Linked DNA regions of Anolis sagrei. The protein of the gene in region 1 interacts with the protein of each later gene in a pairwise test. Links are inferred from orthologs where the notes say so. Each region holds a gene or a part of one and is shown in the gene's direction. Other genes may lie near its edges. The genes, in order: EHHADH, TPP2, MID1 and NECAB2.

Evidence for each region.
Region 2: the proteins of EHHADH (region 1) and TPP2 interact in binary tests that used the Homo sapiens proteins (3 or more experiments, as listed by UniProt). The two-hybrid records come from large-scale screens. The link is inferred for Anolis sagrei from reciprocal best matches to the Homo sapiens genes EHHADH and TPP2.
Region 3: the proteins of EHHADH (region 1) and MID1 interact in binary tests that used the Homo sapiens proteins (3 or more experiments, as listed by UniProt). The two-hybrid records come from large-scale screens. The link is inferred for Anolis sagrei from reciprocal best matches to the Homo sapiens genes EHHADH and MID1.
Region 4: the proteins of EHHADH (region 1) and NECAB2 interact in binary tests that used the Homo sapiens proteins (3 or more experiments, as listed by UniProt). The two-hybrid records come from large-scale screens. The link is inferred for Anolis sagrei from reciprocal best matches to the Homo sapiens genes EHHADH and NECAB2.

Annotation. Positions count from the first base shown.
Region 1 is NC_090023.1:222,668,626-222,676,516, reverse strand, and holds the start of EHHADH (peroxisomal bifunctional enzyme), read left to right. Parts: upstream 1-4,803; 5' UTR 4,804-4,987; coding exon 4,988-5,052; intron 5,053-7,891. UniProt on the Homo sapiens protein: Peroxisomal trifunctional enzyme possessing 2-enoyl-CoA hydratase, 3-hydroxyacyl-CoA dehydrogenase, and delta 3, delta 2-enoyl-CoA isomerase activities. Catalyzes two of the four reactions of the long chain fatty acids peroxisomal beta-oxidation pathway.
Region 2 is NC_090023.1:113,554,436-113,562,358, reverse strand, and holds the start of TPP2 (tripeptidyl-peptidase 2), read left to right. Parts: upstream 1-4,833; 5' UTR 4,834-5,104; coding exon 5,105-5,269; intron 5,270-7,923. UniProt on the Homo sapiens protein: Cytosolic tripeptidyl-peptidase that releases N-terminal tripeptides from polypeptides and is a component of the proteolytic cascade acting downstream of the 26S proteasome in the ubiquitin-proteasome pathway.
Region 3 is NC_090023.1:92,978,678-92,986,175, forward strand, and holds the start of MID1 (E3 ubiquitin-protein ligase Midline-1), read left to right. Parts: upstream 1-4,347; 5' UTR 4,348-4,533; intron 4,534-7,498. UniProt on the Homo sapiens protein: Has E3 ubiquitin ligase activity towards IGBP1, promoting its monoubiquitination, which results in deprotection of the catalytic subunit of protein phosphatase PP2A, and its subsequent degradation by polyubiquitination.
Region 4 is NC_090028.1:8,410,332-8,417,368, reverse strand, and holds the start of NECAB2 (N-terminal EF-hand calcium-binding protein 2), read left to right. Parts: upstream 1-3,979; 5' UTR 3,980-4,095; coding exon 4,096-4,380; intron 4,381-7,037. UniProt on the Homo sapiens protein: May act as a signaling scaffold protein that senses intracellular calcium.

The DNA of each region.
Region 1 (7,891 bases):
TTTTCGGGGAAACGGGATATCACTCTTCATCTGCTCATCCATAGACAAACATAGCCATATCTAAGAAACTAGAGCTGATGTGGTCCATCTAATACAATTTTCTGAATCAGTGCCCCAAGTAACCCAAGGAACAGGTAAAAAAAAACCTCAAATAAACTAGACAAGACACCAAGAATTATGGGGGTAGGGCTGTCTAATATGTGTTCCACGGCTCCTTTCATACCTGGGCATAACAACAGCTGAATGTTCTTCCAGCTTGAGTGCAGTCACATCATTAGCCACAGCTCTACATGTCCTTGTCTTTTGTTCTTCCCCGGTAGCTGAATGCCTTCCAACCTGAACGTTCCATCTTTTGTACTATCTCTTTTCATTTTGGATTGTCTCATCATAGGGGTTTCATGATAAAAGACATTTGAAAGGGATTTACCATGCCTCCCTCAGTGCTGTACAAACAAGCATTAGATCTGATGCTACTACTGTTGTCTTTGAGAGATTGTCCACCAGTGTCACAGAAATCCACCTACTGTTGCCCAGCAGCTGTTTGGCACATTTTGTCTGGCTCTGCAGCAAAAGGCTGTCTAACACGAAAGACCCTATCGGCAGCACTGCTACTGTCAGCATAGCCTCAGAGAAGCACACAATCCTACCACTATGAAAAGATAGTGCCATGGTGGGATTTGTAGCTTGCACTCATATAAATTGAGGTCAGTCACATCTTTTGTCAGTCCTAGCCTGAACCAACACACACACTGTCCCTTGAAAACACAGTGTGCTTTATCTATAATCTGATGTCCTTGTTTACTTCATAGCTGAACAGCTGGCTAATGCTAAGCACAGAGCTGAGTAAAATTACACACAGACACACCCATTTTCTTCTATTTAAAAAACCAGATATTTATTTATTTATTTATTTAAAACATTTCTATTCTGCCCTTCTCACTCCAAAGGGAATTCAGGGCGGAGAACAACATATAAATGGCAAACATTCAATGCCGGGACATAAATATACATATACATAAACATTAGAATCACTTAACTCAATGTTAAAATCCTGTTTAAAACCGTCTCAATATTGTATGTAATTGATTACACTATGTAACATGATTTTTGTTCCTGGGTTATAAATGTCATTTTCCTCATTGGTGCTATCATAAAAACATGGGTAAAGTTTATTAAACTGGAAAAGCTTTGTTTTTGCGGTCTGCACAAAAGGTTAAAAATGGCACATTGAAAGGTTAAAAATGACAGCCACAAAAATGAAGTTTCTGGAGTATAACAACTACTTTCGAAGTAAGTAAAACACAATTAAGCAGGAAATAACAGTTTCAAACCAGGAACATATTTTTTTTTCAAATTTTGTTACATAGTGTTAGTAACATCACCCAGAAAGAACAAGCAGTTGAACTATCAGATTGAGGAAAATAAAAAATAATTTGAAATCATTTATAAAAAAGAACTCCTCAGCAAGTAGGAGCTGATGTGGCAGGAACATGAATCATGGTCTTTCCATTAAAAATTCTGCTTTGGTTCTGTTTAAATTGTTATGTCTGCATTTAAATCAGTGTGTGCCACTTTTGTACAACATTTGTGCTATTTTCTTTTTGGGAGTGTGTGCATCAGAGACCATTTTAAATGCCAATATGTGTATGTGCAATCACATGCTGCTTTATGGTGAACTTCATGAATGTCATAAAGTTTTCTTAGGGTGCATCTACATTGAAGAATTAATGCAGCTTGATACCACTTGAATTGCCATGGCTTCGTGTTATACAGTCCTGGGAGTTGTAGTTTAGTGAGGCACCAGCACCATTTGGCAAAAAAACAAAAACAAACTAAAGACATTGTAAAACTAGAAGTCCCATGACCCCATAGCATTGAAACTGACTGTTAAAGCAATGCCAAACTGCATTCATTCTATAGTGAAGATGCATGGAATAGAGAAGTGATTGTGCAGTTTCTTTTTTCCTGAGGATGCATCTACACAGTAGAATTAATGCAGGATTGTCATGTGTTTTCCAGGCTGTATGGCCATGTTCCAGAAGCATTCTCTCCTGACATTTTGCCTGCACCTGTGGCAGGCATCCTCGGAGATTGTGAGGTCTGTTGGAAACTAGAAAAATAGGGTTTATATATCTGTGGAATGTTCAGGGTGGGAGAAAGAACTCTTGTCTGTTGGAGGTAGGTGGAATGTTTCCATTGGCCACCATGATTAACATTTAATGGCCTGGCAGTTTTTAGGTGTGGCTTGTTACTGCCTGAGAAAATCCTTTTTTTTTTTTTTGAGAAAATCCTTTGTTGAGAGGTGATTAGGTGTTCCTGATTGTTTCTTGTCTGGAGTTCTCCTGTGTTTGAGTTTTGTTATTTATTTACTGTTATAATTTTAGAGTTTTTTTTAATACTAGTAGCCAGATTTTGTTCATTTTCATGGTTTCCTCCTTTCTGTTGAAATTGTCCACATGCTTGTGGATTTCAATAGCTTCTCTGTGTAGTCTCATATGGTAGTTATTACAATGGTCCAGCATTTCTGTGTTCTCATAGGATGTCCAGGTTGGTTCATCAAACGCTCTGCTATGGCTGACTTCTCTGGTTGAAGTAGTCTGCAGTGCGTTTCATGTTCCTTGATCCGGTTGGTGGGGACGAGGGAAGGGGCCTTCTCGGTGGTGGCCCCCTACCTCTGGATTGCCCTCCCCAAGGAGATAAGGCTGGCCCCATCCCGTAAGAACTTGAAGACTTGGTGGTTTCATCAGGCCTTCAATAATGACAAGTCTCAAGCCCTTGGTCCAACAGTTAGGACTTGGCCTTGTACCACATCCATTCCCCAGTTCCCTGTCATTTGAGGGCACCTTTTCTTCCAGCCAATACCTTTTATTATAGACCTTTAATTGGCCCTGGAATTGAGTGGCCCCAGTTCCCTAGTAGGGCCATTGCTGAGACTGATCCTTGTACTGTAGCATTTAGCTGGCCCCATTTTTCTCTTCTCCTTGCACTAGCCTTGACCCAGCCCGTTCCAAATAGTCCAGGCCCCTTATTGAAATCTGTTCTCCTGGCAGCTTACCTTGCATGAAGAAGAGAGTGATTTTTAAATTGATTTTAATGTATACGCTGTGTTAACAGTTTATGCCTATGTTTTTGTTTCATATTGCACGTTTTTGTATTATTTTGCATATGTGGAAACCGCTCTGAGTCCCCTAAGGGAGATAGGGCGATATATAAATAAAGTTCTGTTATATTATTATTGATGCGTATTTGGCATTGCTTTTGGTGGTCCCTATATAGATTTGTCCAGAACTGCATGGTATACTGTAGACTCCTGCAGAGGTGAGAGGATATCTCTTGTCCTTTGCTGAATGTAGCATTTGTTGGATTTTCTTAGTGGGTCTGTAGATGGTTTGTTGGTTGTGTTTTTTCAACAGCTTCCCTATTCAATCAGTGGTTCTCTTGATGTATGATAAGAACACAGTTCCTCTTGCAGTTTAATAACTGCAATCGTGCAGTGCTATGCATTTTTATAAGGTCCTTCGCCTCTTTCACTAAAAGAGCGCCATGACAGTCAAAGTGCTGTCAAACTGCATTAATTCTACAGGGCAGATGCCTCCTAATAACAGTGAGAGCTGGCTCTGTGTAGAAAATAATAGGATTTAGGGCAGTGTTTCTCAATCTGAGGGTCGGAACCCCTGGGGGGTCATGAGGGAGTGTCAGTGGGGTCACCAAAGACCATCAGAATACACAGTATTTTCTGTTGGTCCTGGGGGTTCTGTGTGGGAAGTTTGGCCCAATTCTATTGTTGGTGGGGTTCAGAATGCTCTTTGATTGTAAGTGAACTATAAATCCCCCTTTGTGGATTTATAGAACCCCTTTGGCAGAGAAGGCTGAGGATCTCTCCACCTGATCTTCTCTTCTTTTTTGGAAACAGACAGAGAATCCTCCCACCAAAAGCTCTCGTCTTCTATGATTGGCTGGCCTCTCAGCCAAGGGAAGGGCTGTTTCTAAGACTCCAAGCAAAGAGCGGAGAGCAGGCATGCTCCACACATGGCAGTGTGGTGCACATGTACAGGCATGGAGAGCATGTGAGGCTGGAGGAAGGCTCATGCCAGTGAGTCCCTTCAAGGCATGGGGGTTCTATATGGGAAGTTTGGCCCTATTCGATTGTTGGGGGGTTCAGAATGCTCTTTGATTGTAAGTGAACTATAAATCCCAGCAACTACAACTCCCAAATATCAAGTCTATTTCCCCCAAATTCCACTAGTGTTCACATTTGGGCATATTGAGTATTAATGCGAAATTCGGTCCAGATCTATCATTGTTTGAACCCACAGTGCTCTCTGGATATAGGTGAACTACAACTCCAAAACTCAAGGTCAATGCCCATCAAGTATTTTCTGTTGGTCATGGGGGTTCTGTGTGCTAAGTTTGGTTCAATTCCATCGTTGGTGGAGTTCAGAATTGTAGGTTGATTGTAAGTGAACTATAAATCCCAGCAACGCCAACTTCCAAATGACAAAATCAATCCCCACTCCAACCCCACCAGTATTCAAATTTTGGCGAATCGGATATTTGTGCCAAATTTGGTCCAGTGAATGAAAATACATCCTGCATATCAGATATTTACATGACGATTCATAACAGTAGCACAATGACAGTTGTGAAGTAGCAACGAAAATAATGTTATGGTTGGGGGTCACCACAACATGAGGAACTGAATTAAGGGGTCGTGGCATTAGGAAGGTTGAGAACCACTGATTTCGGGTGTATCTCCTTTTACGTGATTCCAGCCACTCCAAGGCTCTGTCTGCAGGGTGGGTGCCTTCATCCTGGTTAAAATTCAACCGAGAGTCTGGGCTCCAGCAGAAAGCCTCCTCCACCCATTTGCGCGCCTGCCCATCCGGGTCTTCCGCTTCCAAGAGGCCCCGCCTCCTCCCTCGCCTTCTCGCTGCCCGTCAATCAAGTCTAGCGTTCTCCTGGGGCGTCCGAGGCTGGTCGCGCGACGATGGCTCAGGTCCTGCGAGGCGTGCGCGTGATCAGGGTCTGCAACCCGCCCCTCAACACGCTCAGGTAAGGGTCGCCAGAGAAAGACCCATGCTATGGGATTCTGGGAATTGTAGCTTGGTAAAGCACTTGCATTCTGGCAGAGAAGGCGAAAAACCTTGCAAAACTTCAACTCTTATGATTCCATACTATCAAACCATGGCAGTTTGACAAGCTCTGTAGCTTTCTCTGCCAAAGGGTAGTGCTGCTGCACGAAACTACAATTCCCAGGATTCCACAGCCATGGCAGGTAAAGTGACTTGTAAATCACAGTGTAAATCAACCCCTAGATCAGCGTGATAGTAGGGTGCATCTATACTGTAGACTTAATGCCATCTGGCAGTACTTTTAATTGCCATGTCTCAATGCTGTTACCATGGGATATGTAGTTTGGTGATGTATCAGCACACTTTTGGCCAAAGAAGGCGCAAGGTCTGGTGAAATTACAACATCCATGATTCCAAAGCATTGAGTTGTGGTAATTAAAGTGGTGCCTAACTGCATTCTACAGCGTAGATCAGCCTTTAGCAAACTTTGTCCCTCCAAGTGTTTTGGACTTCAACTCCCACAATTCCTACCAGCTGGTAGGAATTGTGGGAGCTGAAGTCCAAAACACCTGGAGGTCCAAGGTTTGCCCAAGCCTGATGTAGATGTCTGTCTGTAGCACAACAAAAGCAGGATTCTAGCAAACAGTGCATATGGATTGTGAATGCTGTGATTGTATATCTTGCTACTTTGGAGAAACCATGCAGCCATGCATGGTTTCTCCAAAGTAAGTCCTTGCTCCAAAGTAAGTCCTTGCTCTGGAACACAGTCCAAACCTCTTGCATAATTGACCCAGGGAGAACCTATCTGAATCAATGCAGTTTGGTACTACTTTAACTGCCATAACTCAGTGTTATTGAATCCTGGGAGTTCTGGTTTCACCAGGTCTTTAGAGTGCTGGTGCCTCACCAAACTACAGATGTAATCTTTTAGTAGCATTGAGCCACAGCAGTGAAAGTGGTCAAAATGCATTAATTCTACTTAATGAAGCCCTATTGTTGGATGCCACTACACGAGAGAATTAATGCGGTTTGACACCACTTTACCTACCGTGGCTCAATTTAGTTTTACAAGACCTTTCGTTTTCTCTACCAAAGAGTGCTGGTGCCTCATTAAATGGACAGCTATTCAAATTCCATAGCATTGAGCCATGGCAGATTTATTTTTATTTTTTTGTCGTGTCAGGAGTGACTTGAGAAACTGCAATTCGCTTCTGGTGTGAGAGAATTGGCCATCTGCAAGGATGTTGCTCAGGGGATGCCTGGATGTTTTGATGTTTTATCATCCTTCTGGGAGGCTTCTCTCATGTCCCCGCATGAGGAGCTGAAGCTGATAGAGGGAGCTCATCCGCGCTCTCCCCGGATTCGAACCTGCAACCTGTCAGTTTTCAGTCCTGCCAGCACAAGTGTTTAACCCACTGCACCACCGGGGACTCTGCCATGGCAGATAAAGGGGTGTCAAACTGCATTAATTTGACAGTGTAGATGGGCCCATGAAGTCACTGTTTCACCCAGCAGGGAAAAGTAGCCATGACCCATCTTGAAACCACATATAAGCAAAGCAGATTATAGCTTGGATTACTTCTGGAAGAATATTCCTCACCACTGAAGAAGTAGTAAATCATCATCTGAAAAATCCCCGTAAACCAAAAGAATCTTGATTAATTTTTGTTGTAATCAGTAATGTTGTAATGGCAGGAGAAAAGTTGGTCATGGGTTGAGGACAAGTTAATATGTAAGCACAAAGATATCATTTCCCCCAGACTTTGGATACTAGTAGATTGGGCATAAAATATAGGATTCTCATTTATTATTAAAAGTTTTTTTAAAAAAATTTATATAACAAAGCATTTTGGATGTGAAATCTTTCTATGGTCTTTGAGCTGAGTGATTGCTAAAGAGCTAACAGATGTATTATGCCATTACCTACAAGTCATTACATGCATGGAGTTTTATCCAGAATTTCAGGTATACTTCATTGGCGGTGGAATGATTGACAGTGAGGTTGGAGAGGGAATTAAAGGGCCAAAGTACCAATGGTTACGTTCAAAAAGTGGCCATTCATAAACATGGAATTCACGTTGCCTATCAAATGCAAGGGGCCACAGTAGTGCAGCGGGTTAAACCGCAAAGCTGCAGAACTTGCTGACTGGAAGGTCAGTGGTTTGAATCCACAGGACAAGATGAGCTCCTGTTGTTAGCCTCTGTCAACCTACCAGTTCAAAAACATTCAGATGTGGGTAGATCAATAGGTACCTCTCAGATGTGAAGGTAATGATGCTCCATGCAGTCATCCCGGATGTAAGGGCAATCTGGCTGCAACATCTGTCACCCCACTGATTGTCAGGGTTGATTCGACTGATCTGGCTGGCTAGGCGGGTGTCCCCTTCCTCCCTCACTGCTCCATGTGCATCCCTCCTGAAGCTATGCACTCGGTGGAAGAGGATGATGTCCCAGGTATAGAAGGAGTGTACCGAGGTCTCCAGTCTTTGGTCCCGGGTATACAATATATGCGCTCCCCTGCTAGAGCCTCCAAACATGCTGGCTACATGACGTTGAAGGGTCTACTGACAAAGCCGGCTCTTCGGCTTAGAGTACCCCCCCCCCCCGAGTTGAACACTACTAGACTTAATGTCAAGGGGAAACCTTTATCTTTACATCAAATGCAATATACATTTTAAAAATCCACATATAAAGGGAATTCAAATTCATATTTATTTGAGTTCATTCAAGTGCTTCTGTCCTTTAGCTGTACATTACCAGAGAGAGTTCAGAGCTGATGGAAAGTTTTAGCGTATTGAGTTCATTTGTATCAACTGCCA
Region 2 (7,923 bases), about 110 Mb from region 1:
TCAAGGCAGTTGAAGGGTGTGTTGGGAAAAAATGTCTCTTAAAATATGCAGAACTGAGATTGAACACTTGGATGACAATCTGGGCTTGGTCAGGAATACTGAGAACCCTATCTTTTACCCATCTCAGTTGGGAGAGCACCAAAACAGGAAACAGAGTTCAAACCTTATTTATCTACTAGCTTACTTGTTCTCCTTGATTTGTTTCTATGTTGAGTGAACTACTTTAAAAAAATCATTATACACATAATCTAAACTTCACCATTAAGACCACCAGTTGTCACTTGCAGATACCAATGTCTAGTTTGATTTCCATGTTCAGAGAGTATCCGATTATTTTAAGGCATGTTATCTGCCCCTTTTGTTTATGTGCTGACTCCACCCCCACCCCCACTGCCCACAAAAAAAAACAGTTTGTCATTTGACTGAAATAATTATGTTTTATGTTCAAGACAGCTCACCTCCATGTAGGAAATCATGGCATTTACTGGTAGATTTTATGCATTTATATGAACTATCTCCTCAAACTGGAACCTATGGCAACATACAAGTTTTAAACACAAAACATTTAAAGAGTAAAACACAAACTATAATATATAAAAACTATCCCATTCCTACTATTTTGGACAACTATATACCAGTAACTTATTTACCATTCATTACCAAGAACCTGGAATGGGTGGTGGCCAAACAACTCCAAAGATTTTTGGATAAAGCTGATTTTCTAGATCCATTTCAATCTGGATTCAGGCTGGGACATGTGATGGAAATAGCTTTAGTTGCCTTGAGTTGCCTTGAGAGCAGAGAGCTGGACAGGGGGAGTGTGACCCTGCCAGTCCTTCTGGATCTCTCAGCGGCTTTCAATACTATCAACCATGATATCCTTCTGGAGTGACTTGCGAGGATGGGACTGGGAGGCACAGTGTTGCAGTGGTTCGTCTTTCCTTTTGGGCCACCGCCAGAAGGTGGTGTCGGGTGGGGAGGTCCTGCTCAGCCCCATGGTCTGTGGACTGTGTGGTCCCGCAGGGCTCATCTTTATCCCCAATGTTGTTTAACATCTACATGAAACCACTGGGAGAGATCATCCAGAGGTTTGGAATTCAGTATCATCCATACGTGGATAATGCTAATCTCTATTACTCCTTTCCAACAGATGCCAAGGAAGTCGTTCCACACCTGAACCAATGCTTGAGGTTGGTAATGGACTGGATGAGGGTAAACAAATTGATGCTTATTCCAGATAAGATGGAGGTACTGCTGGCCTTGCGTAAGATTGATCCAGAAATAGGGTTACAACTTGAGCTGGATGGGGTTACACTCCCCCTGAAATCCCAGGTTTGGGGATGATTCTGGATTCTGCCTTAAATCTGGAAGCCCAGGTGGCAAGGTAACCAGGACTGCCTTTGCACAACTAAAACTTGTGTGCCAACTGCACCCATTCATGGAGAAATATGACTTGGTCACTGTGGTACATTTGGACTACTGTAATGTGCTCTACATGGGACTGCCCTTGAAAAGTGTTACTTACCAGGTTACTTATGGAAGTTGATTCCAGGAAGCACACCTGTTGAAACAGCTCCATTGGCTCCTGATTTGTTTCTGGGTCCAATTCAAGGTGCCGGTTTTAATCTATAAAGCCCTGCATGACTACCAGCCTGTATAGGGCGTCCGTGTCCCCGTATACGGGCCAGTAGACCTCTAAATTGTTTTTAAATTGTTTTTAAATGGTGTTCAATTTTAGCCTGTTCTTGTAAGCCGCTCTGAGCCCCAGGGGAGTGGCGGCATATAAGTTCAAATAATAAATAAATAAATAAGGTCTAGTAAGGAGACCCTGATTTTTACACAGTCCCTGGCCAACATCCACTTAAAAATCACTAGAGAAGGGACATTCTTGGGGGCGGCTTCTAAGTTGTGGAACTCACTGCCAGAGGAAATTAGATTGGTTCCCACCATCATGATATAAGAAAGACATGAAGACTTTCCTCTTCGAAGCAACTGAAGCCAGTAAAAATGAATTCAAAAGAATGGGAATTTTAGGCTAAAATTTACTTTTAATGTTTAATAATGAGGAAAGTTTTAAAGAATTAGTGAACCTCTAATATTTGTATAGTTATGGTTTTTAATTATTTGTATGTCTGATATAATGTGAGCCGCTTTGGGTTCATACTGGAGAAAGGCAGCATAGAAATTTCCGTAACAAATAAAATAAATACATTGAATTAAAAGCAATCCAACACACAATTAAAAAGCACCGAATCCTTCCTCAACAGTCATTAAAAGCTTGACCTGCTGACAAGGCTAGACAATCCCATATCAAATGTCTTGCTTGGCCCGATCTGCAGCTACTGCATTCTGCTGACTGTAATTACAGAGCTCTATTAGACTGGGAACCTTGTTTAACATGTAAGACTTAGTAATTATGTTCACTTAAACACATTGACACCACTTTTAGATGCCTTTCATATCAACATTTGGTGGGGAAGTGGAAAGGGCAGGTCAAAAGCGTGGTTCCTTGGTATTCTGTATGAGGCTTAGGAAAAATGAACTAGAACTAGATCCTCACAATTATCAAAATGGGTGTACCTACAATCAAGATGTCTTCAAAATAACATGTGAAGATGTTTATAGTGTCAAAGAGGGAGACAGCTTGCATAGCATCATCTGACACTGCTTCTCCTAGAGGAAATCCAAGAGATGACTCACTAGGACTCCTTCTACACTGCCATATAATCCAGATTATCAAAGCGGATAATCCACATTATCTGCTTTGAACTGGATTGTATGAGTTTACACTGGCATATAATCCAGTTCAAAACAGATAATCTGGATTTTATATGGAGGTGGAAGAGGCCTAGTTCCTGCATGAAAGACTATCTAATGAAGGAGAGTCTGTCCTTCCTACAGATGATCGGCTTTGTTTTTGAACAGCTCTTATCATGAAGAGGTTTTTTCCTGATGTTCAATTGAAATCTGTCCTCCTATAATTTGAAGACATTTACTCTAGTCTGTGGCAAAAATGATTTTGTGAATAACTTCAGGTCCTGGATTTTAATAGCTTGCAATTCTGGGAGCTGTTGCCTAAATCATGAAGTTGCAAAGTTCTGCAGTAACAAGACTGTTATCATTCCCATTCCCCTTCATCAGGATAAACATGACGAGTTCTTCAAACTTTTCACATAGGACTTCTTTTTGTTCTGCTGTCCATATGTGAAAATGTTCTTCCTTCCTTATGTTCCAATTCAGCTTTATCTGTCAGTCAGGGATGAGCACAGTATACTGTAGCCTCCATTGACCCTAGCCAGCATCACCAACCTGAGAGTTGCAGTCCAGCAGCATCTGTAAGGGCCCAATTTGCCTGTTCTAAATGTACAGTGCCCAAAATTGGATATTGTGCTACAGCAGAGTTCCCTATATGTCAGGAAAAAAGAGAGAAGAGAAATAGAAAGGGTAAACACAGAACAAAAAACCAAGTAGACTGGAGTGTCCAATATCCACAGATATCAACTCAAGATCTTCTGTTACATCATGCTGTGCAGGAAGGCATTCTTCCATTTCTAGCTTCAAGGCTGTTATTGGGGGACTGCTCTGATAAGCATATTAGCTGCAATATTGTCCTCCACTGTCTTCTTCTGTGAGTTTTTAATTCACACTTTGAATTCTTTGTGCTTTCATGAGGCACCCATGGTTCCTCATGCAGAAAATATTTTTCTCAGAATTTCTGATGCCAACTCTTGAGACATAAAAACTCTGTACTCCATGCAGATTGTAGGACACACTTACAACTGCTATAAAGTAGACATATGTTCAGCAATTCACACAGAAATACACATGTTTCATTCTACAAACACACTGAATACAATCTGATGATTATCTACACCATAGTTCAGGATTCTCGAAACCTATCTTTACAATTTCAGCAGTATGTATGTACACAGTACATACTGTGTATCTGATGAAACTATGGATAACATTGAATCCTATAGTTTACCAATACTTGGATCAGAAACATATAATAAAATAACACTGGAGAAGCTAGGGAGGTGCACAACACTTCCAGGACATTTGCTCTTTTTTTTCCCCTTCCCTTTTTTTGGTGCTGGTTATTGACCTTATTTATTTATATCCCGCTTTATCTCTGCTGCAATATTATTAGTAATATTATATTATTACATATGATTGTATTGTACTATATTACTCTACCACTCTCTACATGTATTGCCATGTTTAAGTAATAATGCTGATTTTGGTGCATCCTCCATATTTGTATTCTTATTCTTATTTATTTAAATACCCTTTTCCAAAATTGTTGTATAATTTTACAGGATCACTATATATGAAAATATGAGCCTATTTCCTGACAGCCTCTCCAGTACTGATTTAAGCATTTTTATCTATCTGATTTAATCTAATCGGGATCAAGTACCATATCCATACCGTTTTGTAATAGTTTTCCTTAATTATTATGGACATATTTTTATTTAGTAATCGCATACGCCATACCCTGGCCCATTCTTGGTTCTCCCACCGGTATATTACACGATTAGTATAATAAATATGTATGTTCCTGTGAAAAGGGCCTTGGGAGCGCTATGGATCCCAAACGGAACCTGAGCCAACAGAGGAATCTCGCGTTGTTTGAGGGAGAAACAGCTTGGGTGGCGTAGTCGAAGATCTCGGACTTGCCGGCCCCTTTAAGAAACGCGGTACTTATTTCCTCATTGGTCTGAGCCAGGACCAATCAAATTCCAGTTCTCTTCTCGCGCTTCAACCTGATTGGCTGCTTCCTTCCGGGCGTCAGCTCTGCTCTCCGCAAAATCTCCCTTCCGACTTCGGCATCTGTTGTAACCAGTAAAGCAGCTCGCCGCGCTCTCTTCGGGGTGGTGGATTCCCATTGGCTGAGCAGCGCGCGCATGCGCCGGCCGGGAAAAAGAAGCCTGAAACTCTCTTCCTTCCCGGAGGAGCCGCGGTCTGGGTTTGCCAGAGCCGTGACGTCACCTGGGTCCGCGCGACGCCTTCCTCGTGTCGCGTGCGTGCGTGCCTGGTGGCCCACCTGACCCCCCCCTCCCTCCCTCCCTCCCCCGCCTCGCGCGTTTTCTCCTCACCCAACATGGCGGCGGGGGCCGTGGAAGAGCCGTTCCCCTTCCAGGGGCTTCTTCCCAAAAAGGAGACCGGCGCGGCCGCCTTCCTCTCCCGCTACCCGGAGCATGACGGGCGGGGGGTGCTAGTGGCCATTTTGGACACGGGGGTAGACCCCGGCGCCCCGGGGATGCAGGTAAGCGGGGCGGGCGTGACCTGTTGGTGGGGCTGCTTTTGGCTTGTCTGAGGGAAGAAGTTTGGGATCAGGAGGGATTTATGATGACTTCTGAGGGCCTCTGTTTAGAGGAAAGTACAGTAGGGAATTTTCTTAGGCCCTCAGAGGAGTAATCGCGCTCATCAGCATCCAGTGCCTGAAATGGTCAGAATTTAGTCGTTTGTAGAAACGAGCCGCAACCACAGGGAAAGCCCTGCTGAATCCAGCCAAAGGCCTTTCAAGCCCAGCATCCTGTTTCTTACACAGATTGAGGGTTTTCTGAAATGCTTGGGAAATCCACCAGAAGTGTAGATTTGACCTTATATTTTATTAGTATCGGTGTCTGTCCTTGATCTGTGTATATTTAAATCTATGCACTTTTATCTGGGTTTTGCATTTTATCTGAGTTTTCACCATGCTGTACCCTGTCTCAAGCCATGAAAAGAACCGCATAACAAGGAAAATGTATTATTAATATGTGATTTCAGATTATTGTTGTTGTTGTTGTTGTTGTTATATGGATCTCCCGGTGGCACAATGGGTTAAACCCTTGTGCTGGCAGGACTGCTGACCGAAAGATCGGCGGTTTGAATCCAGGGAGTGGGGTGAGCACCTGTCTGTCAGCTCTAGCTCCCCGTGCAGGGACACAAGAGAAGCCTCCCACAGAATGGTAAAACATCAAATATATATATATTGGCATTGAATCTTGCCAATACTTTTTGTACACGGCTTTGAACCCCCCCCCCCCCAGGAGTGAGAATATAAATGCAGTAAATAGAGAAATATCCGGGTGTCCCCTGAGCAACATCCTTGCAGAAGGAAAAATCTCTCACACCAGAAGCGCCTTGCAATTTCCTAAGTTGTTCCTGACACAAAAACATTATTATTATTTTGGGTTACCTGTATTTATTCCCATCTACATGATGAAAGATTTCTGGGATGTGATCCAAACATAACATTCATTTATGCATGTTATGTTTAAACACATAGCCTGGGGGTAATTGTATATGCTACATTTGTAATAATTTAGTGCATGGAACAAAGCTTGTGTACACTGAACCATCAGGAAACAAAGGTGTCACTATTTCAGCTTCCCATGTGGATGATTTTGCATCTCAGAGTATTTTGGAATCCCAGAGAAAGCATGCTCATGATGTCTGTAGTGGGAAGCTTGCAAGCATAACGTGAATTGTCTTGTTTTGTAGTGTCCTCTGAAATTGTTTCTTTGGATACAATACCACTGAATTGTTGAGGTAGCACATTATGTTTGGAGGCACTAACAGAATTATTGTTGTAATTGAAATAAAGGTTCTGCAGGAACCTGGTTTATTGTGCATATGTAAGCAAATCATAGATTTAGCATGACATCCAGAGCCGATAGGATAGAGGTTTCCAAATATTTCATGTTGGTGACACACGTTTTAAACACATATCATTTTGTGACACAGTAATTCAGTTTTACTATCAAACCGGAGTTTAAACCAATTCCTGATAAGAGATACAGGTACATACATAATTTGGAATAACAAAATGTATATCTCATATTTATTTTTATTTCACATAAACACAGAGGTTTCTCATTATTTTCGTGCAACACATTTACACACTACAACCAACACATAGTTTGGAAAGTTCTGCAATAGAAGAATACTTTTCGAACTTGAAATACTTTTGCCCCAAATATCTGATCACCTCAATTAACCTTTTGGCAGGTGTTGGCAGAGGACTGCATTGACATTTGGCTTCCTCTGGTTCTATAGGCTTCATTTTGTTCATTCCTGTGCTGAACATATCCTGAAAGCCATGTTTTCTTTGCTTACTTTCAGCAAGTGAGTGCTTTTGGACCAAAGGATTCAGTATGCTAGTTCATGTATAACTAGCTTGGATTCTGCTACTGATAGTGGTGTCTGCAAAAGCCTGTAGAATGGTAGAAAACAAATGTCTTTTTTAATGGCAAAATGAAATCACTTGGGTTTGTTGCAGTGGAAGAGCTTGTGGTTGCATTAAGATACTTGAAGAATGACCAGAAATTTTGTTTTGGAGCAGATTTAAAAATGTATCATTTTTTAGTTGTAGGAATGCCACCCTCTCGTAAACACTTTATTCATCTTCCTAAAGAAAATCATTCCACAACAATCTGTTCATTTTTCCTTCTATTTTTAAATGGCATCTTGGAGAGGGAGGATATTTTATAGACTTTCACAAATCTATGTGATTTCATTTCAGTGAGCAAAAGCAAACCAGTTCTTTCTTAGTAGGGATTGGGTCATATCCTCTAACTATAGTTATGCTTACTGTGTATTATGAATGAGGATTTTTTGTAGTGTTAGCTGCTAATCAGAATTAGATCAAGGGAACACCTTGTTTACACCCTGAGGAGGAAGGAGTATACATTTTTTAATATGTGGGAGCATGACACCAAAGGATGTTTGCTTTTGTGAAGTCAGTGTTCAGGCAGCAGTGATGATTATAATGTTTGCCACTTATAAGGGTGGATAATACATTAGATGTGCTATTAAAGAAAAGTATTTCTGCCTGTAAATGGACTGACATTACTGTATATAGTGTGTAAGTTAACCTCTTGTGTAAGTTGAGGGCAGATTTAATTATGGATTTTGATTTCATATGATCTGTGG
Region 3 (7,498 bases), about 130 Mb from region 1:
ATAAACAAGTTAGGCCACAACTTAATTTTTCAAGGTTTCTATGTTCTGGGTGGATGGTGGGATGTGGCAGAAATAAAATATGTGCATATGATATTGTCTGAGAGGCATCCCAGTGCATTTGGCACAACTTGTTTATTATATATGATAGATGTAAGGAAGAAGCTAATTCAGTGTATCTTCTGACTAAAGACTTCTGACATTTTGAAGTGTGTGGTTTTGGGACTGGATTCTTCCTTTAATTACAATGAGGAACAAACACCGGGAATCTGTATGAAGTACAAAACAAAGCTTTATCTACTGTCCTATTTTTTAAAATGTACTATCTAATCTTTATGTAAGCATTTCCTCTCCTGCTGTGGCTTCTTTTGGCAAGGTATTCCATCACTGCCTAGTTGTTCTGATTAGGAAGTTTCTCCATATCTAATCTAAGCTGACTTGTCTTTAATGCAGAGTAATGTGTTTGTACAGATAATACATTCCCTAGTCAAGCTTCAACTTCCTATTCTATTGTTTCCCTTATTCAATATTTTTACTGGCATTGATTTTTTTATTTTTTTCTTCTTCCAGAAGCTCAACCTTGGCTCCTACTGTACCATGAAAGCCAAACATTAATATCTGGAGGGGAAGAGGAAGTTATAACTAACTATAGCATCCATAAAAATGCACTAAAGATAAAGTTTCTGTGCAGAACATAATAATATGATGATCGTAACATCTTGTTGTTCACTTGGGAGGGAAAGAAATGCCATAAGAGAAAAGTTATGGATTAATATAACTTTCTGGTCCTTTTAGGTCACCACACGTCAGAAAATATATCTGTCACTAGTGCAGAACTGGATGCTGAATCTCCTGACTCCTGGGTGAATGTCGCAGTGAAAAATGTACGTTGATCTCCAAACTTCCTCAAAGTTCTTTTTCTCCCAAAATGTTTACTCACTTACCTGTTCTGGCTGCTCTGTCTCACGTATATTTCACCCTATGCCCTTTCCTTACCTGATGACCATGATTATTCTATCATACAGAGTAGACACAGAGTTGGATTCAAAAGGTGATGCCTTGCCTGCAGGTTCAGGGTGGCAAAAGTAAATTTTCAAAATTGAAGCCAATAAGACAGCCAACTAGAATGAATATATATATATATATATATATATATATATATATATATATATATATGGTAAGCACATATGGAAAGCTGGGCCAAAACTTACAAAATGTATATTAACAGGGATAAATATAGTGCCTTTAAGCAGGAAAATGAAGCATAAGGATATAGGATAGGTAACACCTGACTTGACAGGTGTACATGAGAAAATCATCTAGGGGCTAACCATGTGTCAACAATGTATAAAAAAGCCAGTGCAATTCTGGGCTGCATCAAAGAGGGTATAGTGTTCCAACTCAGAAACGGTGTAGCCAAACTAGCTTGCTTTGGTCAAATCTCGCATAAAATATTGTTTCCAGTTGTGGCTATCCCAGACAATCTGGATAGTAATAGGTCTAGACAAGATTAGGAGGAACATCTTGGCAGGAAGAGCACTGGAATGGATTGTCTTGGGGTGGAAAGGAGATTTCCTTCAGCAGAGATCTTTAAACAAAGGTTGAATGGCTGTCTTTTAGTACTCCTATATGACAAGGTATTGGATTAGATAACCCCTGCAGTCCCTTGCAATTCCAGTTCTACGTCTCTCTTTTATGTGGTAGGTGTCTTTTTGGCCTAGATTTGTGAAATATGGTTGGTGGTCAGTGCGGTCAATAAATCAATTCTTGATTTTACTGTCAAACTCAAACGATGTACTTGTTGGCCCTCCATACCTACAGATTCTGCACCCATGAATTAAACCATTCTTGGCTTGAAAATATCTCCCCCCCCCCACTCTCCCCAAAAATATTCTGAAAAACAAACCTTGATTTTACCATTTTATATAAGGGACAACTTCCATTAAACATCATGGCATACGGTGGGACCTGAGCATCCTCAAATTTTAATATTCACTCAGGGTCTTGGAAGCAAACCCCAGAGGGTACAAAGGGCTGCAACTACATAAAAACAGGAAAATGATGAAAACACTTTTTAAAAATGTAGTTTAAAAATCACATACTTAAAGCAATCTCAAATTCCACTTTGGTTTTAAGGACCACAGGCTGTATGATCAGGTAGTTCTGACTGGACATTGCAAACTCAGGAAATATTGGACTGGCCTGACTTCTCTTTGGGGGGAGTCCAACAGTTAGGTTTAAAAACTGAGAAAGACCCATCTTTGTATTCAACTGACTTGCTTCTTTGGATTTCAACAGGGCCTCATCTAAAGAGTTATGTTCTTGTAGACAATGTTATAGACCTGGTCATTTTAATGCCAGTCATTTAGGATTTTGCAGTCAAAGGCAGCAGAAGGCACCATGGTACAATGGTCTGAGCACTGGATTTTACGTTCTAGGAGACCAAGGTTCAAATCCTTGCTTTACTATGGCAATCCACTGGATAATGGACATGTCACACTCTCTTGGACTCAGAGGAACACAAAAGAAAACTCTCTCTGACCAAATCTTGTCAAGAAAAGCCCACGATAGAGTTGCCATCAGAAATAACACAACAACAAAGTCAAATCCAGCACATTAAATTAACCCTGGAAACAGATTACATAACTATGAAGTTTATATCAGACTAGTGATACATGATCTTTAAAATGTGCACATGACAAAAGTCTGGTTACCACTAGCTGTAAGCCCTAAACACATTCCAAGTGCATTCTCATGTACAGTCCTTTATAGTAGTCTAATCAAGAGACAATAAAGGTATGAACCAGATCAGCCCTCCTATAGAAGAGCACAGCTCGTACCCCACCAAACTTGAGCAAGAGCATACATAACACCCACCTGATCTTCCTGAAGCAATGGAAGTAGCTGTACATCACATGTGTCAAACTTAAAGTCCATGGACCAAATCTGGCCTGTCACATCATTTCATGTGGCCCCTGAGGTCCGGACAATCCCTATGCTGGTGCTGCCCTCTTTGCCAAGCATTGCCTGCATTTCAAAGGCAGCAGGGACCTAGTTGTGAAGGAGCGTGTTTCTGGCCAGAGATCATTTCCCTCCTCACAATGGTTGGTGTCCTAGACACCGCAGGGGAATAGGCCTGGGCCCGGGCAACCTTTCTCCCAAGGAGCTAGGCTGGGATTTACTGCTTGAAAAAATGGTGTGCCTATTTCTGCCCCCCCCCCCCCCAGCTGAGCCACAATACAATTGCCCTTGCTCTGTGGCACAAATTAGGAAGGAGATTTTGAAGAAAGGCAGCTCCCCCTATTTTGATCTTCTTTACAGAGGGTCTGAGCATTATATGATACATGAGGTTGTTTGAACCAACCTTTGCTATAGTGGCCTTTACATTTGGGAAGTATTTTAGGCTTTCAAAACCAGAGCAACATTTTATTTTCCTATTACTGTTATTTTTCATTTATTTATATAGCGCCATGTATTAGGATTTCTATGCCAGGGCAACATAGTTAAATTTATACAGTCTTAAAATTGAAAATAGCCCTTTGAAGGCAACCATGGGGCTGATGTCTCCCTCGGTGAAAAAAAATGACACCCCTACATAACAGTTTACAGTTATGTACAGTTATGTCACCTTCTCAACCTCTGAGGAAGCTTGCCATAGATGCAGGCGAAACGTCAGGAGAAATGCCTCTAGAACATGGCTCTATAGCCCGAAAAAACCCACAAGAACCTAGTGATTCCAGCCATGAAAGCCTTCGACAATACAATGACACCCCTGCTTTCCATTGCAGATGGGTGATAAGGATTATCCCAATACCCACCAATTTCCTCATTTTTGTAATGGCAAGAAGTTATTTTAGAAATTTGAATGTGGGACAAAGCAAAATTAAAAATTCTTAGATTCCTAGAACTCTCAATGTTGATAAAATCCACAAACCACAAAAAGAGTGATTGTGAAAAAAAGACTGAAGGCAAACATATGTTGCATCTCTCCTATTTCCAACCAAACTGACAATGATAATCAAGCAAGAGTTCCTACCCGACTGTGGTGAAAGTTTGATACCTGAATACATAGTCTTTGTGTGCTTAATGCATATATCAAACTTTATGCCCTGTATTCTGTACTAACTAGCAGGCGAATTAGTGAAATCATTTGGCATTCCTTGAGTTAACAGCAAATCGTTTTAAGTTACTTCTTTTTTTTCTATCCTCCATTTCAAGAATGCAGTTTACAGTTATGTATATAAGGAAACCTGTTAGGCTTAAATCAGGCTGTCGGGTGTTTAAGCTGCCTGGAGAGACATGTAAGCAGCCCACACCCTCCAGTGTGGGAGTGTCTGGTAGGCTGGACAGAGCAAAGCTTCTTGAATCAAAGTGACTACAAAACCGTTCAGCTGTTCCTCACAGAAACAACGCAGACTAGCACAACACACACACAAAGCCCCGACTTATCTTGGAGCAGCTATCGATTTGGTTTTTACCCCAGAACTTTCAGCAAAAGAGAATCCACTCTCAGAAAAAGAAATAATGGAGGAGACGGTAAGATACTATACTTTTGAGCTTCGTCTACTAGCTTTGTTTGAAATATTTAATTTTGCCTGGGTCTTTGCTTTCAGCTGTGATTTCCCATTCCTAAACTGGCATGTGTGTGTTATAAATAACTTCTTACAGTGTATGGTGGGCAGTATGTAAGCACCAGCTGCGTGGATATCGGTTGTTGGAGCTTTCCTGACTCTTCATGTGCTTCCAATTATATTGCCTTTTTTTTTCAAAAGTGACAGCAAACTTTCTTACCTCAGATACATTAGAGATGCATCTTGAAAGGAGGATGGAATGAGTTAGAAATTTAAGAACAAGCGTAGCAGTCTTTGTTACATGAGTATGTTGTTTAATTTAGAATTCCAAGACAGCTTTACTTATATCTGTTGCTTAAAAAAACTGTGGTGACAAACATATCCTTGTATGCTGTGTTTAATGAATAGCATTGTTTTCGACTTTACATGATAGAGAAGACTGGTTGCAACTATTCAACTTTTAAAAGCCAGCAGACATAGAAAATTGAGAATTGTGGGAAGAAAGATATTTAAGAAGTTTTATTTTGGAACTCCAACTGCTATACAGATTTCTTTTTGAAAACATGTACAAAGAAATTTAAGAAGTTTAATGAGTTTTTTCCTTTGTGAAGTTTCATTTCCAGTCCTGAAATTTTGTTTGCAGTCTTTGGTTCCTTGAAATCAATGGGAAAAGATGATATCTATAAGTATATGTATATACTTATATTGTTGAAAAAGCAAGCTAGGTTATGATATTAGTAATATAATGGAGCTGTGAGGAGAGGCAAATAAGAAATAATAATAAGACTAATAATAGGTTTTAATGTCTATATGTTTTTAACTTTATGGTTTTTAATTCATTTTTTTTACTTAGTTGTATATCTGTTTTATGCACCATTGAATTTTTGCCTACTTGTAAGCTGCTCTGAATCCCCTTCAGGGTGAGAAGGGTGCGGTATAAATATAGTAAATAAATAAATAAATAGGACCAAAATAAATAGAAATTTGGAAACGAACACTAGTTTATAATTTAAACAAGTTATCTAATTCCTGTGAATGTGAGAGTGTGTGCATGTATGTATATAAACACAATGACATATGCAGCAGTCCTCTGCACATCTATCTGGGAATAGGTCTTATTCAATTTGGTGAGCTTTCTAACTAGGCGTGCACATGATTGCAATGTTATTTGTCCTATAAAATAAATGAAATGATATTTTTATGTCGGTATGTTCTGAATGTTATTAATTTTTGTACGATATAATCAAAAATGTATTTTCAGTGTGAAATGTATATTGTAACTACTGTTGAGCATATCAGGCATGTAGCCGGGGGGGGGGGGGGGGCTTGAGGGGCTTCAGCCCCCCCCCCCCCCAAATTCTCATGGTGGTTTGCGAAAAGGCCTTACTGGTGCATTATTTAAACTGTTATGTTTATTCATATCATGATCTGATCACCATACTCAATATATCCCATATGCATGGGGGTATTGGGGTAATGATACAAAAGATTTGCTAGGGTAGACCCTCTTTCACTCAGACTCAGTCTCCCCCCCCCCCCGAAACTAACCCCCCCCCCGAAACTCCCCCTGAAAAACACTCCCCCCCCCCCCCGAATCGAAATCCTGGCTACAGGCCTGGAGCATATAATTTAATACTGCATTCAGCCATTTCTGGTTGTTCAAATATCAAGTTTGTCAAATGTCAGTTAGTATAATGCAGTTTCTAATCAAAATAGAATCTGAGTGCTTGAAGTCGACAAAGTGCACATCACCTCTTTTCTCAGTTTTCATCTTAATTATTATTGTGCTTGAAAGCTAGCAAATGAAACATTGAATGATGATTTCTTACTGAAAAGGCTTAAAAGCATCCTGCATACATATCCAACTAGGATTGTTACATGGCTCAGATTTGGTTTGGTCCTTATGCCAGCATAGCTCCACTGTTGTAGACTCCGCTGGTGGTGAATCAATGGTAGGAGGACCTCATCACATTAAAAGGATGAATCCACTTTAAATCTGGTTTCTGTCTCCTCTAAAATTCTGGGGTTTGTAGTTTAGTGAGGCTTTTAAAGGCTCCTCCCTAAACTACAAACCCCAGAATTCTGCAGGAGGCAGCAACCGGATTTAAAGTGGGTTCATTCTCAATGAATGGAGCAGTTGAGAAGGGAGGCAGGCAAATTTTGTGAGGTCTCAGGAGAAGAAGGTTGCTCATTCCCAGCAGGCTATTCACCAATACAAGTCTTCTTAGGAGAAGGAAGAGTTGTCCTTGGAATTAATAGTCCCTTGGCATAGTCAATTTCTCATGTCAGTCTTCTCTAAATTTTGAACTCCAAGGACATCTACAAAGGCTAGCATAGAATAATATAAACAACTTGAAGTTGACAGCCTTCCTCTCCTCATATAATGATAATAATAAAGCCACATAAGAGCCTTTCTTCTTTCATAGCTGATGCAAAGCCTAGGTAAAAGTACACTGTGCAAGTATAACAGACCATTTTTTTGACATTGTGAAAAAACAGGATTTTTTTCACAGTCACCCTAGATATTTCTGAGCGCCTCAATATCTTGGAAAATTCAGCTCCACAGAAAACAAAGAAAAGGAAAAAAAGGTGTTGAATACTTCATTGAAAGGAAAATCTAATCTATGTGAGTATAACTTCATATAGACAAGCTGGAAAATGCTATAATAAATTTTCTTTAGGGTTGCCACAAGTCAGAAATGAGCAGTTGGTTGCAGTATCGCCACCATGGTCACACTGGATCATTCAAGGCAGTGTATCTAGAGCCAGCACTATTTTCAGGAAAATATCATTGGGCACACTGCTCCTTCCGTTTCATAAATTTAGGAGATGGTATCTAACCTGTCATGGAATAAGAAAGGTATGTCTGCCTGAAATGAATTATTATTGTATGGCTAGAATCATTTCCAACTTACAATGGTCCTAAGGAA
Region 4 (7,037 bases), on another chromosome or scaffold:
TTGCAGCATGCATGCAAGAAAGCAAAACAATTAGTTAAATTATCCTCCCTGCATAAAGCGGTACCTAAATTTCCTACTTGACAGATGCAATTGTGTTTTGGGCTGCATAGGTCAACAGCAAGCTAGACTATTAATGGTTGGGAGCTCACTCCGACCCGGGCTGGCTTCAAACTCATGACCTCTCGGTCAGTAGTGGTTTAATGCAGTGGGCTACCAACTTGATACTGTTGGGGTTGTGTCCTCTTTATGGTCCCAAAATTCCTGGGGTCTCTATCCAGTCAAACACTAGGAACAAGGAGATTGTTCAATAGGTTTATTTGGCCAAAACTTCCTGCCGGGTGGAGCAACAAAAGAAAAGTGTCACACCAAAACTAAGACGCAACTTAGCTTTATAGTCAAAACTTTGAGCGTACTTTGAGCATGTGCACACAAGCTTTTTCTCTCTGAATTGGCCTCATATTTTTCCTTCCTTTGGTGCCTCTCTTATCAATGTTGTTTTGGTGTGTTATTAGGTTGAACTTTTCCCTAGGTTTGAACTCTTGATTTCTCTACATTTCTCACTCCTTATTGCTCCACAGCATGTGTGAGATTTTGTCTGAACTTTATTTTGGCTGGCTGTTTTCTATTTTTCCTAGCTCTCTAACCCCTTCGATACCAACCCAAATGACAACAATTCCTTTTAATGGTATTTGTTGTTGCTCAGTGTAAGTTCCGAGCCTTGCCATGTTCCAGGGGTCATGTAAGCTACACAAATGTGGCTGCCACCATTGTAATCCTTCTGATGCTAGGGAACGACTAATCCCACTTCGGGCCAACCTGGATAAGCCATTGGTTGTTGTTGTTCATTCGTTCAGTCGTCTCCGACTCTTCGTGACCTCATGGACCAGCCCACGCCAGAGCTCCCTGTCGGCCGTCACCACCCCCAGCTCCTTCAAGGTCAGTCCAGTCACTTCAAGGATGCCATCCATCTATCTTGCCCTTGGTCGGCCCCTCTTCCTTTTGCCTTCCACTTTCCCCAGCATCATTGTCTTCTCTAGGCTTTGCTATCTCCTCATGATGTGCCCGAAGTACTTCAACTTTGTCTCTAGTCTCCTTCCCTCCAATGAGCAGCCGGGCTTTCTTTCCTGGAGGATGGACTGGTTGGATCTTCTCGCAGTCCAAGGCACTCTCAGAACTTTCCTCCAGCACCACAGCTCAAAAGCATCGATCTTCCTTCGCTCAGCCTTCCCTAAGGTCCAGCTCTTACATCCGTAGGTGACTACAGGGAATACCATGGCTTTGACTAGGCAATGGATCTTTGTTGCCAGTCTGATGTCTCTAGTCTTTACTATTTGCTTTCCTCCCAAGAAGGAAGCGTCTTCTGATTTCCTGGCCACAGTCTGCATCTGCAGTCATCTTTGCGCCTAGAAATACAAAGTCTGTCACGGCCTCCACATTTTCTCCCTCTATTTCCCACTTGTCAATCATTCTTGTTGCCATAATCTTGGTTTTTTTTATGTTTAGCTGCAACCCGGCTTTTGCGCTTTCTTCTTTCACCTTGATTAGAAGGCTTCTCAGCTCCTCCTCGCTTTCAGCCATCAGAGTGGTGTCATCTGCATATCTGAGGTTGTTAATGTTTCAAGGCTGGGGTGTTAATTTTCACCCCAGCCTTGCATTCCTCAAGCCCCGCACATCCTCGCATGATGTGTTCTGCATACAAGTTAAAAAGGTTGGGTGAGAGTATGCAGCCTTGCCGGACGCCTTTCCCAATCTTGAGCCAGTCTGTTGTTCCGTGGTCAGTTCTGACTGTTGCTACTTGGTCCTTGTACAGATTCCTCAGGAGAGAGGGAAGGGGGCTTGGGATGCCCATCCCACCAAGAACTTGCCACAGTTTATTATGATCCACACAGTCAAAGGCTTTAGAGTAGTCAATGAAGCAGAAGTATATGTTTTTCTGAAACTCCCTGCCTTTCTCCATTCTCCAGCATCCGGATATTGGCAATCTGGTCTCTCGTTCCTCTGCCTTTTCTAAACCCAGCTTGAACATCTGGCAACTCTCTCTCCATGTCTTGCTGGAGTCTTCCTTGCAGGATCTTGAGCATTACCTTACAGGCATGAGAAATAAGGGCCACTGTATGGAAGTTTGAGCACTCTTTCGCATTTCCCTTTTTTGGTATGGGGATATAAGTTGATTTTTTCTAGTCTGATGGCCATTCTTGTGAGCCATTGGTAGTCTTGCGTTATGTATCCGAATGGTTGCTATGCCTTCCATTGGTTGCTAAACAGGTGAACATGTCCCAGTCTGCTGTTCATTAGCAAATATGAGTAAATGGTGACATTTGGCTCCAAAGGCACCGCTTGCCTTTGCCTGCGGGAAACCTTTAATTAGTTGAAGCTCCCGGCTGAGTGCGGGCGAAGGGAGGGGAACGTGGGCCCAAAGAGAGAGAGAAAGTGGCTTTCTTTGTTATTTGTGCAGAGTTGCTACGAGTCCTGATTTTTCACTGTATTCACTTGGTTGTTTCCAGGTGCAAGGGGTGCTTTCGAACACTGTTTTCCAGCAGGTGGGTAGAATAAGCCACTAAGCAGCCACTTATCATCAGATATTTAGGGCGTATTTATTTCCCATTTCTCTTGTACGAAGCTAAGAGAGTGTAAGAGAAGGGTCCTCAAACTTTTTAAGCCGTTGAGGGCCTGGAGTATAGTTCGAAAAACAAATAAATATGGGGGATCAAGTGGATTCTGTGGTTTGATTTTGATACAATACTTGGCAAAGTTGAAACAAATGCAGTTTTGGAGTGGACTTTGACATGTGCACACTAATGATTTGTGAGAGAGCCGTTCAGCAGTGGAACTCTCTGCCCCGGAGTGTGGTGGAGGCTCCTTCTTTGGAAGTTTTTAAACAGAGGATGGATGGCCATCTGTCAGGGGTGATTTGAATGCAACATTCCTGCTTCTTGGCAGAATGGGTTGGACTGGATGGCCCATGAGGTCTCTTCCAACTCTTTGATTCTGTGATTCTATGAATGAAGGGGTTTCTCAGCCCCCTTATGAAACTACAACTGTCAGGATTGTATAGCCATGGGGAGAGGGAGAAATATAATAATAATAATAATAATAATAATAATCTTCCTGTCGAACTATAATTCCCAGAACTACAGTAGCACAGGGCAGTCAGAGTGGATTCATTCTGAAAGCATCCCTCTGTTGAACTATAACTCCCAGAACTATAATAGCACAGGGCAGTTGGAGTGGCATCAAACTGCATTCATTCTGGAAGCAACCCTCTGTCGAACTATAATTCCCAGAACTACAATAGCACAGGGCAGTTGGTGTGGTGTCAAACTGCATACATTCTGGAAGCATCCCCCTGTCGAACTATAACTCCCAGGAATACAATAGCACAAAGCAGTTGGAGTAGTGTTGAACTGCATTCACTATACAGCCTAGAAGCATCCCTTTGTCGAACTATAACTCCCAGGAGCACAGGGCAGGTGGAGTGGTGTCAAACTGTATTCATTCTCTAGCCTAGAAGTATCCCCTTGTCGAACTACAACTCCCAGGATTACAATAGCACAAAGCAGTTGGAGTAGCATCAAACTGCAATGACCAGTTGGAGTGGTGTCAAACTGCCTTCACTCTACAGCCTAGAAGCATCTCCTTGTCGAACTACAACTCCCAGGAGCACAGGGCAGGTAGAGTAGTATCAAACTGTATTCATTCTCCAGCCTAGAAGCATCCCTTTGTCGAACTACAACTCCCAGGATCTCAACAACACTGAGCAGTCGGAGTGGCATCAAACTGCATTCACTCTACAGCCTAGAAGCACCTTCTTGAACTACAAGAGCCAATGCCATATCAGTTAAAGTGGTGTCAAACCGCATTCCCTCTCCGACAGTGTAGATGCCCCCTCCCCTCCCTCTGGGCCCCTCCTTCCCTTTCCACGCGGGGCGGCGGGTGGGGTTTCTCCTGCCTGCCTGCTTCCCTCCCTCCTCCCTCCCCTCTTCCCTCTTCCTCTCTTTCTTTCCGAGGCGGGCGAGGGAAGGAGGGAAGGGAGGAAGGAGGGAGGGAGGGAGGATCGGAGGGGAAACTCCTCCAGGATGAAGGCTCCCGTCAAAGATGTGTGAGCAGGCTGCGCGCTATTGCCGGGCGAGCCTCCACAAGCTGCTGCGCAAAGAGGAGCGGGCGCTGCCGGTCTCCCCGGGCCCGGACGGGCTGCTCCGCTGGATCGTGGCCAAGATGAGCGACAAGAGCCTCCTGCCCGAGAGGGAGCTGCCCGCCGACGACGAAGAAGAGGACGAGGAAGAGGACCAAGAAGGGGGTCAGAGAAGCCGGCGGGGAGCCGCCTCGGCCGCCCACGCCGAGATGCCCGAGCTGCGGAAAGGCGCCTCTGTCATCTTGGATGTGAGTCCCTTCTGCTTGCGAACGGGAGCGACCCGGCAAACCCCAACCTCCCCCTTTTGACTACAGGCAATAACATCCCTTTGGACATCCCTTCATTGGCTAGAGTTTGGGGCAAAGTTCCCCAGCTCTTCCCCTTCTGCCCAGTTGGAACGGGAGGGACCTGGCAAACCCCAACCACCTCTCTTTGGAGATCTCTTCATTGGCTAGAGTTTGAGGCTTAGTTCCCCAGCTCTTCCCCTTCTGCCCAGTTGGAACGGGAGGGACCTGGCAAACCCCAACCACCTCTCTTTGGAGATCTCTTCATTGGCTAGAGTTTGGGGCAAAGTTCCCCAGCTCTTCCCCTTCTGCCCAGTTGGAACGGGAGGGACCTGGCAAACCCCAACCACCTCTCTTTGGAGATCTCTTCATTGGCTAGAGTTTGAGGCTTAGTTCCCCAGCTCTTCCCCTTCTGCCCAGTTGGAACGGAAGGAACCTGGCAAACCCCAACAACCTCTCTTTGGAGATCCCTTCATTGGCTAGAGTTTGGGGAAGAGTTCCCCGGCTCCTTCTGCCCAAACAGGAGGGACCCGGCAAACCCCAACCACCTCCCTTTAGAGATCTCGTCAATGGCTAGAGTTTGAGGCATATTTTCCCAGCTCTTTTCCTTCTGCCCAGTTGGAACGGGAGGGACCTGGCAAACCCCAACCACCTCTCTTTGGAGATCTCTTCATTGGCTAGAGTTTGAGGCTTAGTTCCCCAGCTCTTCCCCTTCTGCCCAGTTGGAACGAAAGGAACCTGGCAAACCCCAACAACCTCTCTTTGGAGATCCCTTCATTGGCTAGAGTTGGGGGCCAAGTTCCCCATCTCTTCCCCTTTTGCCCAGTTGGAACGGGAGGGACCTGGCAAACCCCAACCATCTCCCTTTGGACATCCCTTCATTGGCTAGAGTTTGGGGCCAAGTTCCCCTGCTCCTCTCCTTCTGCCCAGGTGGAACGGGAGGGACCTGGCAAACCCTGAACACCTCTCTTTGGAGATCTCTTCATTGGCTAGAGTTTGGGGACAAGTTCCCCAGATCCTCTCCTTCTGCCCAGTTAGAACGGGAGAGACCCAGCAAACCCCAATCACCTCCCTTTGGAGATCTCTTCATTGGCTAGAGTTTGGGGCAAAGTTCCCCAGCTCTTCTCTTCTGCCCAGTTGGAACGGGAGGAACCTGGCAAACCCCAACCACTCCCTTTTGGCTACAGGCAATAACATCACTTTGGAGATCCCTTCAGTGGCTAGAGTTTGGGGCAAAGTTTCCCAGCTCTTCTCATTCTGCCCAGTTGGAACGGGAGGAATCTGGCAAACCCCAACTGCCCCCTTTTGGCTACAGACAATAATATCCCTTTGGAGATCTCTTCACTTCACTGACTAGAGTTCCCCAGCTCATCTCCTTCTGCCCAGTTGGAACGGGAGGGACCTGGCAAACCCCCTTTTGGCTACAGACAATAACATCCCTTTGGAGATCCCTTCACTGGCTAGAGTTTGAAGCAAAGTTCCCCATCGCTTCTCCTTCTGCCCAGGTGGAACAGGAGAGATCCGGCAAACCCCAACCACCTCCCTTTAGAGATCTCTTCATTGACTAGAGTTTGAGGCATAGTTTCCCAGCTCTTCTCCTTCTGCTCAGTTGGAACGGGAGGGACCTGGCAAACCCCAACTGCCCCCTTTTGGCTACAGGCAATGCCATCCCTTCAGAGATCCCTTCATTGGCTGGAGTTTGGGGACAAGTTCCCCAGCTCCTCTCCTTCTGCCCAGGTGGAACGGGAGCGACCCGGCAAACCCCAAACACCTCCCTTTGGAGATCTCTTCATTGGCTAGAGTTTGGGGCAAAGTTCCCCAGCTCTTCCCCTTCTGCCCAGTTCGAACGGGAGGAACCTGGCAAACCCCAACCGCCTCCTTTTGGCTACAGACAATACCATCCCTTTGGAGATCCTTTGGGACAGCTCAGCTGTCCAATTTAAGGAGGGAAAGGCATGGATCTGAATTGGGAAGTCCGGGGGATGGAAAAGGGCTCCCATAGTCTCCCTTCCCTGGGTAAGAGTTTGGGTCAAAGCTCCTGGAAATGTCCCCCGGCTCTTCTCCTTCTGTCCAGGGGAAAGGGAAGCGACCTGGCAAAACCCAATCGCCTCTCTTTGAGCTGCAGCCGTCCCTTTGGAGACCTTTCCAGACAGCTCAGCTATCCAGTTTCAGGAAAGAAAGGTTTGGATTGCAAATTGGGAAGTCCAGAGGAAGAGAAAGGGATTCCATAGTCTTCCTTCCCTGTCTAGAGTTTGGGGCAAAGCTCCCCATCTCTTCTCCTTCTGCCCAGGAGGAATGAGAGCTATCTGGCAAAACCCAACCGCCTCCTTTTGGCTACAATGTCATCTCTTGGAGATCCTTTTGGGATAGTTCAGCTGTCCAATTTCAGGAAGGAAAGGCTTAGATCTGAATTGGGAAGTCCAGAGGATGGCAAAGGGATCCCATAGTCTCCCTCCCTGGCTAAGAGTTTGGGGCAAAGCTCCTAGCACTCCTCCTTCTGCCTAGAGAGACCCACAAGACTCAACCAGCTCTCCTTGGCTACAGATATCCCTTAGGAGAACCTTTTGTGATGGCTCGGCTATCCAGTGTCCATAGGGAAAGGCTTGGATATGAGTTGGGAA